Xenopus tropicalis: one gene and its partners. The protein of the gene in region 1 purifies or fractionates together with the protein of each later gene. This does not show direct contact. Links are inferred from orthologs where the notes say so. Each region holds a gene or a part of one and is shown on either strand. Other genes may lie near its edges. The genes, in order: atp6ap2, V-type proton ATPase subunit S1 and ccdc115.

Region 1 (4,036 bases):
ATACATTTATCATAAGAAGAGCACTAAGTGACTAATGTTTCTGCTCTGTAACTATCATGGTTTCCTCTCAATCTGAGGAGTCATAAGTGTCTATTAAAAAAAAAAATTACCAGTGTATAGCACTTATACACTTCTTATACATTAGCTCAAAAAAATAAGCTTATGTTAATAAGGGTGTTTTTTAACATTAGCAAATACATTTGTGAATAATTTATTAGAAGATGTGTTAAATAACAAAGGACATCTCACATATCTGCACAAGAGTCCCTGTATCTCTTGACTTTTTGCCCTTTACTGGATCACTCAAGAAATTGCAAGTAAAACCCAGGTTATTCTAACCACTTACCTTTGTCACAACTGCAATGAACTACAAACAGCACATTTTGACTGCTTAACTCTTTCTGGGGACTAATGCATTTTCATTCTAAACTTGTCTAGCGATTGTTTATGTGGTCAGACAGGACATGAGCAAAGGCAGAGAGTGCAGCAGCCACTGTATCCATCATGTATAATGATATAATACACAAATAAATTATACAGGTATGGAATCCCTTATCTGGAAACCTATTATCCAGAAATCCTCCAATTACAGGAAGTGCATCTCTCCATTTTTATCAAATATTTATAATTTCTAAAAATTTTCTAAAAAAGATTTCCCTTTTCTATTCTAATAAAACAGTACCTTGTACTTGATCCCAACTAAGATCATTATTGAAGGCAACGTAATCCTATTGGGTGTATTTAATGTTTATATGTTATTTTTTAGTAGACAAAGTATGATGACCCAAATTATGGAAATATCCCTTTATCCATAAAAACTCAGGTCCCAAGCATTGTGGATAACAGGTCCCATACCTGTATCCTCATACACAGTGCCTAGTGATGTCACCAGTTAATATCAGTGCTTAGAGATGAAATCTATGTCACTTAGTCAATTGAAACTTGTACACAGTTAATATAACAATATCATATACCCCTTGCTTTTAAAGATGATGATATTATTAGTCAACTTAGTGGACTTCAGCCTCTTTATATTGTAATAAAACTCTTTATAATATCCTTATATTTTATGGTTGGGGGTACAAGAATTTACAGCTACTGGACTGAATAATTACATCTGACAAACAAATAATTAACAATGGGGCTTATTAACCATTTCATGTAGCAATTGTAAATTAAATGTATGATCATCTAACCCAGGGATCCCCAACCTTTTATACCCGTGAGCCACATTCAAATGGAAAAATTGTTGGGAAGCAACACAACCATAGAAAAAGTTAATGGGGGTGCAAATAGGAGCTATAAATGGCTATTTGGTAACCCCTATGTGGACTGGCAGCCTATAGAAGGCTCTGTTTGGCTTTACACTGGGTCAATCAACACCTGCATCTAAGCTACAAATTGAACAATAAGCACCTACTTTGAGCCCACTGGGAGCAACATCCAAGGGGTTTGGGGAGCAACATGTTGCTCACGAACCACTGGTTGGGGATCACTGATCTAACCTGATCAGATATCCAGAAGCATGTTAACTAAATAATGTAACCCATCCAAGACTACTCTCTACTATCATATTTACAATAGGGCATACATTGCTCCCTATAATGTTAATGACAGCAGATCGATTTAAAAAGGTCAGGACAAAGGGGTTATGTAGGTGACTTCCTCATATGGCTCATGTAAAGGGGAGGGGGCTTTCATGTTTCTGTGGTTGGTAAATGTATGGAAAAGTAAATACAATAAAGATGTATCATTTATAATGTCTGATCATTTTCTCATTCCTCCAATGTTTGTCAACAAATTACACATACTAGATAATGTTTAGGAAAGGCAACATAGTAATAAACTCTATTAATATTTGCACACCGACAAAAGATGTCTCCACAGTGGGAGCTGTGTGTAACATCTTTCCGTTCCAGCAGTAGGAAGGCAAATCATGTGACGCTTGCAAAATCAGTCACATGCAGCCTCACCAAACTCTCCCCACAGATATTCTGCCTGTATCCGCTCTCTATATATCGGTTATGTGCACATTCTATTAAACAGAATATAAGTCATATTATATACAAATATATATACATATTATTATTACAAGTAATTTGATTTACAAATATTTTTTTAAAAAGGGAGTAAGCCAAACTGCAGTGTGAAACATCCCATGATTACTTTCCCTTTTCAAAATGATCTGTTTTTTCAAGTGACAAATCAGGTACAATTTTACATTGAAATCGTTGTTAATAATAAATAAGAATTATGAATCTGAATCACAGGAGAGCTGCATAAACCAACCAATCCAGTGGGGTTGATAATCCACTATTGGGGGTTCACATTATAAGAAAACAATAAAATGCACTGAGCCACTGGGGGGCTGGGGGCCATAAACTGTCAGGGGGGCCATACAGCCTGTGGTTCTCTCCCTCTCAGCTTCTTTAATAACTTGCCATCTGGCAGGTAAAATGATGCTTAAAACCATTTTATTCGAGAAAATATGGTAACCCATTCTGTTAGATTTAACACAGATATTTCACATATTTCATTACAGTAATTTCCATATCATGGTTGTATAATATTGAGTGGATTTACTTCCTTTTTCTCATATCCATACTATTCTAGTACTATTATACTAATACTGTTTAAATTTTAGTTTTAAATTAATCAAAGCGAATCTTAACATAAGGAGCAAGCCCAGTACATGGCAACAGCCAGGCTCACTATGCAGAACCAGCAGCTACCACATACAAGCGTAATATGGCAGTGTGTAACAGCTATATCCCTTTACATTACCTGCTAGTACAAGGGCAGCGAGGGCGAGGCGCAGCATGATTTCGGAAGGCAACACCTCAGCCAAATTCGAACGACTAAATGGAGAACTATAACATCCCTCTGCAAAATCCTTGAAGGTGGTGGTATTCTTCCTGGTGAACCGCTTCCGAAGACCCGGTGTAGCCAATCCGAGAAAGCCTAGTGCATTGTTGACCCGCCTTTGTCAATATCATGTGACAACTAAGCAATAGGAAGGCACATATAATGACTGACACTTCATTTGCCCTTTCAGAGATGGGAGGTAAGGAGGGCGGTGGAGGAAATGGCTGGGGAGTGAAATGAAATGGTGGCATTTAGGCTTCGCGTCTAGTTCCTAATGGAAATATGTTACGTTACAGATAAGGGAATAGACCTTTATAAAGCTAAATTCTGGTTTTAAAAGGAATGGTCATAGAAATTAGACAATATAGCAGATAGGATAAATTCTAGTTACTTTCTGTGTTGGCTGTATCTGCCTTTTGCATCACTGGAGAACGTAGGTAATTTGTTCAGATTAAACTAGTACTTTACTGGCAATAAGAGGAGTGACAGTCTCTAGTCAGAGCTTTATATGAGAACACATTTATGGTGTTAGTGACTTTAGGCTTTCTACATTTGTGGATTCTTTCACCCGCAATGAAACATTGCTACCAAAGCTTCCAGTACTAAACCAGCACTAAAATAAAAGTGTTAAGCAAATTATACACATTTGATAACTGTCTCCTGTAATGCAAAGGGTAGCAGGTGAGCAGTGATGCATCTACTATACAGCACACTGTGAAAGGCCCATGGGCTCTACTGTATGGTTCACCCTCCTACTACAATCAGGCTTCAGTTGACAGCTGGGGGTGGGAATGGGTGATCACAGGCCAAAGATGGCCATCTACGAGGTTGCCAAATGAGCGGATCTTCTCACAATATGCCCAGACCTGGATTTGTGACAAAGCCACAAAGGCCCTGGCCTAGGGTGGCAGAAATTTAGGGGCAGCATGCCACCCAGCCGCACCAAAATTTTGCCCACATACCAAGCAATGGGAAGAGGACACGCAGGTCGATTTTCAGCCAGATATCGATTGGGGGGGTCCCATACATGTGTTGATAAACTGACGAATCGTCTAAAGCAGTGCTGTCCAACCGGCGGCCCGCGACCCCCTTCTGTGTGGCCCCCCACCTGTCTGGCTGCTGTGACTGCTTACCTTTGTGTAAGATTTAAATGGCATCAGTACAGAGTTCA
Region 2 (4,191 bases), on another chromosome or scaffold:
TTCTGGTGACTACTTTAATTTTGGTGTCCTTTATTATTTAAAAGGCCTGTTTCAGTTTAGCACACTTGATCAAGCACTTCCGTATATTTGCGTTTGGAACTGCTCAGTCCCTTCTGCCTTCTATTCTAAATTAAGTGCTGCTGCACCTAGTGATGCACGGAACCTTAGAGTTACTGCCACCTCCTGGCCAGGTGGTAGCTGCAGGGTTCCCTTCATGGCCAGCATCAATAGGTGCAGCATACTTGCACCTGGGCAATAGGGGCACAGACGTCACTCACACTCAGAACATTGGAAATGATGCTGGATGGTCTTCTGCGCAATTGTGTCTGATTTGCATTGAAATGTGTGCAGTTGAGGTAACTGGTTGATTCAGAGCAACTGCAGTAGGCGCAGAGCAACTGTGCCAAGCACAGCACACCCTTGCAACTACAATGATGATGAAATTCTGGTGGAAAATGGCTCTTTGCTTGCTGCATTTGTAAAAGTAAATGAGTAGATAAGGTTGAAAAAAGAAAAGCATGCATCAGGTTCGGCCATCTAACCAGATTGTTACACACTTTCAACATTATTTGACCACGGGGGACAGTGTTCAGTTGGAGTTTACAGAAGGTTTTCTTTGGTTGAGAAAAACATTATGTGGCCCCCATATGTTTTACTAAATATAGATATGCAGATACATTTAGCTTTATGTATAGCATAATCTATGATTATTCTTTTAGATTGTAAAGATTTACCCTAATTTTTGTATCAGTCTATATTTATATATAACCTTTATGTCTGATGTATGCACCCATCTGTTGAACACCACTGCAGAATATGCTGGCCCTTTATAAATATGTGTTACTAAAAACAATAATAATTATAATCCAGTACATTTATTGAACATTTAATGCTAAATGTATTCATGTTTTGTATGCAATTGTGTGTATGTTGTAATATTAGTTGTAATATTAGTTGTTTTGCTTACAGTTTGTTGTACTTGGATTCAGCTTGGTTGTGCTGTTGGATGTTAAGTTTTAGGAATATGTATTCCTGGGAATGTAGTATTTCCAGATTCACTTTGGCTGGGGGAAGGGCTGTCAGATCAATCACAGCATAAGTAAAGGAAATGGTTTTTCTTTTTTTCTTTCACATTTCCCTTTAATCATACCTCTCTCTCGGCTTGTCCACAGGTGATCAGTGATGTTCATAAAAAATCAACTGAATAATGCTTGCATGTATGCTCATAGTGTAAAATTATTCACATTGCCCTAAATATACTTTTATCTAAGCAATGCAGACTGATCTCATTTAGTAATTGCTCACTCACATTGAAGAAATAAATATGAATATTAACAGAAAAAGAGTTAACATTCCGTTTGCAAACTATATTCTTCCTCTCACAACTGTGCCCCCCCCATGCTGCCCGGGCCCCCCAAGACCAACGGGTCTGCTATGTATATATGCAGATCACCACTAGTTTAGGTGGGAGCCGGTAATAGGATGGCTAAGCACTTGAGTCTCCTGAATTTGCAACAAACCCTGTTTAACTAGCTATATTCTACTGTTTATCTTCTAACAGTTGCTTTCCGTTTTTTTCTATCAACAATACAGCTTAATAAATATTTAAAGAATTGAACCACCCCCTCCACCAAAAATCAGTGTTTACACATGCCTTTTTAAACCCTAGCTCCTTACACAGCGTAGGACAAAGGCAAGTGAAAATGTATGATGTTGAAATAACGTATTAGCACATATTAATCATGCAAATTGTTTATTAAAATGTTCTTTACTGAGAGAACAAATTACTGTTTTTAACATCATTACATCACGGCCCATTCACAGTTTTTTTTTTTTTTCAACACATTTTCTAAATGACTTGCACTGAATCTATATCAAACACTGTTGCCTCAGAGCTGCCACTCTGACTCTGAGTTATGAAACAAGGTTGCAGACCTATAAAAATGTGTGCAACACTACTTATTGGGCTAATGGCAAATAGCTCAGTGTTTTTGCAGGTATATCTGCTGCCTTCCTTTTACTAAATGTGTGTGCACTGATAGGCACAGGATAAGACCGTCATGGCACACATAAAGGGGATATCCACACATAAATGTTAAATATGCTGATCCCATGCCCGTCAGAACATACACATTCAAGAAGTTGAAGGGTACCTGATATGCCAGCAAAGAAACTGACATCCACCCTTAATTTTTCTTACAATAGCATATCTACTGCTTCGGTCCCCCCTAGTGGGACCAGAAACGCAGTTTGTATACCTACCCCTTAGAGGGCAAAAGAAATCCAATTAATCCAACAAGCTACATTTATTTTACCTTTAGTTTCTTTTATCACCTTTAACATACAGATATTGGTTATTTTGCACCAAGATATCAGTCTGCATTGCTTAGATAAAATAAAAGTTCATCTTTAGACTTCAATAAAGTAAAATTACCATTCAATAATTCCTGACTGAGAAAGACATTTTAGTGACCTTGGTTTTTCTTAGCTAATAAAGCTACAGATGAAATATTGCTTTAAAAATGTTATAACTACATGCTCTAATGTCCTACTAATGTAATGTCATGCTACTAATGCTTTATTAGTCATTTTCAGCATTTTCTATCCTATCTCATTAGATATACGCTATATTAAAAAAAACAAAAACCTTTAATTTAAGTTCCTACCTTTCTGTTGACCATATTAGTACAGGAACATGACTCATAGGCATCACTGCAGAGATAAAGGCAAAGCAAAGGCAGAGAAGAAGCCAAAAAGGCAGCAACATGTTGGCAAAAAGGCAGCACACAACTGTGCTTGGATTTCACTCTGCTCTTCTGCTGTTTCACAGAGATAAAGAGAAACCAGTCCAATCAGATGCACCTGTTTTACCCAAAACACTTTTTGTTTTATGTAAACAAACACATGTGAAGCATGTGATTAACTACAGCATTGTCTAAATGCTGTTGTAAATTCTTATGGGCTGTAAAGGGGAAGATTCTGTAGAAAATGATCTGTGTCTTACTGTGGTTGCTAAAGAATAGATGGTGTAATAACAGCTGCCATTGTTATTAAAAATACATTGAATATATTTCAAAATATTTGATACAGGTACAGGTATATTTCATTTATATAGTTCATTGCACCTATTTAAATGCTGCTCTTGCCTGTTGCTCCCCAAGCTGGCCTTAGCATTTCTAGAAACTGGTAAAGCTCTGTACAGGTATGGGATCCTTTATCTGGAAACCCTTTATCCAGAAAGTTCTGAATTACGGGAAGGCCATCTCCCTTTGACTCCATTATAAGCAAATAATTCCAATTTTTAAAAATTATTTCCATTTTCTTGTAATAATAAAACTGTACCTTGTACTTAATTCCAACTAATATACAATTAATCCTTACTGGAAGCAAAACAAGCCTATTGGGTTTATTTCATATTTAAATAATGTTTAAGTAGACTTAAGGTATGGAGATCCAAATTACGGAAAGATCCCTTATCGAGAAAACCCCAGGTCTCGAGTATTCTGGATAATGGGCCCCATACCTGTACGATTTTTATGCTCCAGTATCTATTTGACTGTTTACATTCTCTGCACTATTGACTCTGACTCCTGAAACAGTGTTGCAAACCACTTGATAAAAGCAGATTAAAAGACCTGGAGTAGACTACTGTTACACTGTGTTACATCAGACCCAGCGAACAGAAAGGGAACAAATACTGCTATCAACAGCAATTTAATTTGCAAATAACACAAAAGCCATGAAATTATTTAATCAGTGTATATTGAAAAGCTGCTTAGAGTTACATATTATATAATTATTGGGTGGAGATCCCCAATAAAGATGTATAAAACTATTTTGTTTGCATGTCTTACTTAAGTTGCAACTATAACATTTTTTAGAATTATTTAATGGCATCTTTAACAGAAGAATTCACAGTGTTGTGTCAAAAACAAGCTATAGCAGTAAAAATGGCACACTTAGGCAGAAAGAAGAACTGCCAGCATTCTGTCAGATACCACCAAGTCATATTCCACTGAGAGAAGCAGACAAACTGCTCCGTGTGCCCAGGGCCTCAGATGTAAAACCTAAACACAGGAAAGTGTTGAAATGGTTTAATTAATTAATAAGATCATTTTTTGCAGGATTCTTATTAGACATCTCTGCATTCAGAAATGGTGCCATCTCTGGGATCTGGGAAAAATAGTTCTT
Region 3 (4,173 bases), on another chromosome or scaffold:
CCAATGGGAAGGGAAGGGGCGGGGCATTGATATAATAATGAGGGATCTCTCTGCCCCAGCAGCCAATGGGAAGGGGCGGGGCATTGATATAATAATGAGGGATCGCTCTGCCCCAGCAGCCAATGGGAAGGGAAGGGGCGGGGCATTGATAGAATAATGACGGATCTCTGCCCCAGCAGCCGAAGGGAAGGGGCGGGGCATTGATATAATAATGACGGATCTCTCTGCCCCAGCAGCCAATGGGAAGGGAAGGGGCATTGATATAATAATGAGGGATCTCTCTGCCCCAGCAGCCAATGGGAAGGGAAGGGGCGGGGCATTGATATAATAATGAGGGATCTCTCTGCCCCAGCAGCCAATGGGAAGGGGCGGGGCATTGATATAATAATGACGGATCTCTCTGCCCCAGCAGCCAATGGGAAGAGAAGGGGCGGGGCATTGATATAATAATGACGGATCTCTCTGCCCCAGCAGCCAATGGGAAGGGGCGGGGCATTGATATAATAATGAGGGATCTCTCTGCCCCAGCAGCCAATGGGAAGGGGCGGGGCATTGATATAATAATGACGGATCTCTCTGCCCCAGCAGCCAATGGGAAGAGAAGGGGCGGGGCATTGATATAATAATGACGGATCTCTCTGCCCCAGCAGCCAATGGGAAGGGAAGGGGCATTGATATAATAATGAGGGATCTCTCTGCCCCAGCAGCCAATGGGAAGGGGCGGGGCATTGATATAATAATGAGGGATCTCTCTGCCCCAGCAGCCAATGGGAAGGGAAAGGGCGGGGCATTGATATAATAATGAGGGACCTCTCTGCCCCAGCAGCCAATGGGAAGGGAAGGGGCGGGGCATTGATATAATAATGAGGGATCTCTCTGCCCCAGCAGCCAATGGGAAGGGGTGGGGCATTGATATAATAATGACGGATCTCTCTGCCCCAGTGCAGTACAGTAAATACAGAGTAACACACAGACACACGGGGTAAGAAGGGGGTGAGAGTGAGGGGCAGATCCATAGGGGGGTACTTACCCGCTCTGTACCAGGGTGAGGGGCAGATACATAGGGGGCAGATACATAGGGGGTACTTACCCGCTCTGTACCAGAGTGAGGGGCAGATACATAGGGGGGTACTTACATGCTCTGTACCAGGGTGAGGGGCAGATACATAGGGGGGCAGATACATAGGGGGGTACTTACCCGCTCTGTACCAGGGTGAGGGGCAGATACATAGGGGGGTACTTACATGCTCTGTACCAGGGTGAGGGGCAGATACATAGGGGGGGTACTTACATGCTCTGTACCAGGGTGAGGGGCAGATACATAGGGGGGTACTTACATGCTCTGTACCAGGGTGAGGGGCAGATACATAGGGGGGCAGATACATAGGGGGGTACTTACCCGCTCTGTACCAGGGTGAGGGGCAGATACATAGGAGGGGCAGATACATAGGGGGGTACTTACCCGCTCTGTACCAGGGTGAGGGGCAGATACATAGGAGGGGCAGATACATAGGGGGTACTTACCCGCTCTGTACCAGGGTGAGGGGCAGATACATAGGAGGGGCAGATACATAGGGGGGTACTTACCCGCTCTGTACCAGGGTGAGGGGCAGATACATAGGAGGGGCAGATACATAGGGGGCGTACTTACCCGCTCTGTACCAGGGTGAGGGGCAGATACATAGGGATATTAACATGCTCTGTACCAGGGTGAGGGGCAGATACATAGGGGGGGCAGATACATGGGGGGGTACTTACCCGCTCTGTACCAGGGTGAGGGGCAGATACATAGGAGGGGCAGATACATAGGGGGATACTTACCCGCTCTGTACCAGGGTGAGGGGCAGATACATAGGAGGGGCAGATACATAGGGGGGTACTTACCCGCTCTGTACCAGGGTGAGGGGCAGATACATAGGGGGTATTAACATGCTCTGTACCAGGGTGAGGGGCAGATACATAGGGGGGGGCAGATACATGGGGGGGTACTTACCCGCTCTGTACCAGGGTGAGGGGCAGATACATAGGAGGGGCAGATACATAGGGGGATACTTACCCGCTCTGTACCAGGGTGAGGGGCAGATACATAGGAGGGGCAGATACATAGGGGGGTACTTACCCGCTCTGTACCAGGGTGAGGGGCAGATACATAGGGGGTATTAACATGCTCTGTACCAGGGTGAGGGGCAGATACATAGGGGGGGCAGATACATAGGGGGGGCAGATACATGGGGGGGTACTTACCCGCTCTGTACCAGGGTGAGGGGCAGATACATAGGGGGTACTAACATGCTCTGTACCAGGGTGGGGGGCAGATGCATGGGGGGGCAGATGCATGGGGGGGCAGATGCATGGGGGGGCAGATGCATGGGGGTACTTACCGGCTCTGTACCAGGGTGAGGGGCGCCATGTCGGGTCGGTAGTGCAGGGAGCCCACACGCTTGTTCCCCATAGAGTATCGGGCCTGGGAGAGGCACAGCCAGCCCTGGGGGGTAGGAAAGGGTTACACGGGGAGCGCACTAGGGGAACATACACCCCCCCCCCCCCCCCCGGCAGGTAGGTATGAGCCAATCAGCCAGGGGCCCGGGGTGCATGCTGGGAGCTGTAGTACCTGCTCAATGTGTTGGTTGAGCGCTTCCCGCTTGTCCCGCAGACTCTCCAGCTCCTCCATCAGGCGCAGTGTTAGCGCATCCAGCCGCCCGCACAGCAGCGCCACCTCCGTGTCCGACCCCATCCCGACCCACTCACTCACTCACTCCCGGGCCCCTCTGTGCTTCCTACCCACTCACATGACTGCCCAACGCGGAAGCACAGAGCCGGGACATGTCACGGAAACCACTTCCTGTTCGTCACTGGCGGCCATCTTTCTTTGGGGCGCAGTGAGGTCACTTCCGGGGTTCTCTTCCGGTATTTCTCAGGGGCTACACGTGGGGTCGGAACAGCGCAACCATGGTGAGTGTTAGGGGCCCCCAATACCCCCCAATACCGTAATGTAATAGTTACCCATAATGCTGTGCTGTACTGGGGGTAATAGGGGTACAGGGAGTCCCATAGTTACCCATAATGCTGTGCTGTACTGGGGGTAATAGGGGTACAGGGAGCCCCATAGTTACCCATAATGCTGTGCTGTACTGGGGGTAATAGGGGTACAGGGAGCCCCATAGTTACCCATAATGCTGTGCTGTACTGGGGGTAATAGGGGTACAGGGAGTCCCATAGTTACCCATAATGCTGTGCTGTACTGGGGGTAATAGGGGTACAGGGAGTCCCATAGTTACCCATAATGCTGTGCTGTACTGGGGGTAATAGGGGTACGGGGGAGCCCCATAGTTACCCATAATGCTGTGCTGTACTGGGGGTAATAGGGGTACAGGGAGCCCCATAGTTACCCATAATGCTGTGCTGTACTGGGGGTAATAGGGGTACAGGGAGTCCCATAGTTACCCATAATGCTGTGCTGTACTGGGGGTAATAGGGGTACAGGGAGCCCCATAGTTACCCATAATGCTGTGCTGTACTGGGGTAATAGGGGTACAGGGAGCCCCATAGTTACCCATAATGCTGTGCTGTACTGGGGGTAATAGGGGTACAGGGAGTCCCATAGTTACCCATAATGCTGTGCTGTACTGGGGGTAATAGGGGTACAGGGAGCCCCATAGTTACCCATAATGCTGTGCTGTACTGGGGGTAATAGGGGTACGGGGAGTCCCATAGTTACCCATAATGCTGTGCTGTACTGGGGGTAATAGGGGTACAGGGAGCCCCATAGTTACCCATAATGCTGTGCTGTACTGGGGGTAATAGGGGTACAGGGGGCCCCATAGTTACCCATAATGCTGTGCTGTACTGGGGGTAATAGGGGTACGGGGAGCCCCATAGTTACCCATAATGCTGTGCTGTACTGGGGGTAATAGGGGTGCGGGGGAGCCCCATAGTTACCCATAATGCTGTGCTGTACTGGGGGTAATAGGGGTACGGGGAGCCCCATAGTTACCCATAATGCTGTGCTGTACTGGGGGTAATAGGGGTGCGGGGGGCCCCATAGTTACCCATAATGCTGTGCTGTACTGGGGGTAATAGGGGTACGGGGGGCCCCATAGTTACCCATAATGCTGTGCTGTACTGGGGGTAATAGGGGTGCGGGGGAGCCCCATAGTTACCCATAATGCTGTG

The links.
Region 2: the proteins of atp6ap2 (region 1) and V-type proton ATPase subunit S1 purify together in Homo sapiens (affinity purification with mass spectrometry; 5 studies listed by BioGRID and IntAct, counting the BioPlex papers as one, with this or other methods). This does not show direct contact. The link is inferred for Xenopus tropicalis from reciprocal best matches to the Homo sapiens genes ATP6AP2 and ATP6AP1.
Region 3: the proteins of atp6ap2 (region 1) and ccdc115 purify together in Homo sapiens (affinity purification with mass spectrometry; 3 studies listed by BioGRID and IntAct, counting the BioPlex papers as one, with this or other methods). This does not show direct contact. The link is inferred for Xenopus tropicalis from reciprocal best matches to the Homo sapiens genes ATP6AP2 and VMA22.

What each region holds. Positions count from the first base shown.
Region 1 is NC_030678.2:56,959,154-56,963,189, forward strand, and holds the start of atp6ap2 (renin receptor precursor), read right to left. Parts: upstream 2,851-4,036; 5' UTR 2,822-2,850; coding exon 2,785-2,821; intron 1-2,784. UniProt on the Homo sapiens protein: Multifunctional protein which functions as a renin, prorenin cellular receptor and is involved in the assembly of the lysosomal proton-transporting V-type ATPase (V-ATPase) and the acidification of the endo-lysosomal system.
Region 2 is NC_030679.2:70,223,439-70,227,629, forward strand, and holds the start of V-type proton ATPase subunit S1, read right to left. Parts: upstream 2,829-4,191; 5' UTR 2,768-2,828; coding exon 2,667-2,767; intron 1-2,666. Other genes in the region: iqub (IQ and ubiquitin-like domain-containing protein), read right to left, coding at 4,099-4,191. UniProt on the Homo sapiens protein: Accessory subunit of the proton-transporting vacuolar (V)-ATPase protein pump, which is required for luminal acidification of secretory vesicles.
Region 3 is NC_030684.2:595,340-599,512, forward strand, and holds the start of ccdc115 (coiled-coil domain-containing protein 115), read right to left. Parts: upstream 2,820-4,173; 5' UTR 2,735-2,819; coding exon 2,612-2,734; intron 2,486-2,611; coding exon 2,382-2,485; intron 1,026-2,381; exon of another isoform or gene 873-1,025; intron 692-872; exon of another isoform or gene 378-691; coding exon of another isoform or gene 1-377. Other genes in the region: uncharacterized protein LOC116406687, read right to left, coding at 1-377; U3 small nucleolar ribonucleoprotein protein IMP4, read left to right, coding at 2,950-2,952. UniProt on the Homo sapiens protein: Accessory component of the proton-transporting vacuolar (V)-ATPase protein pump involved in intracellular iron homeostasis.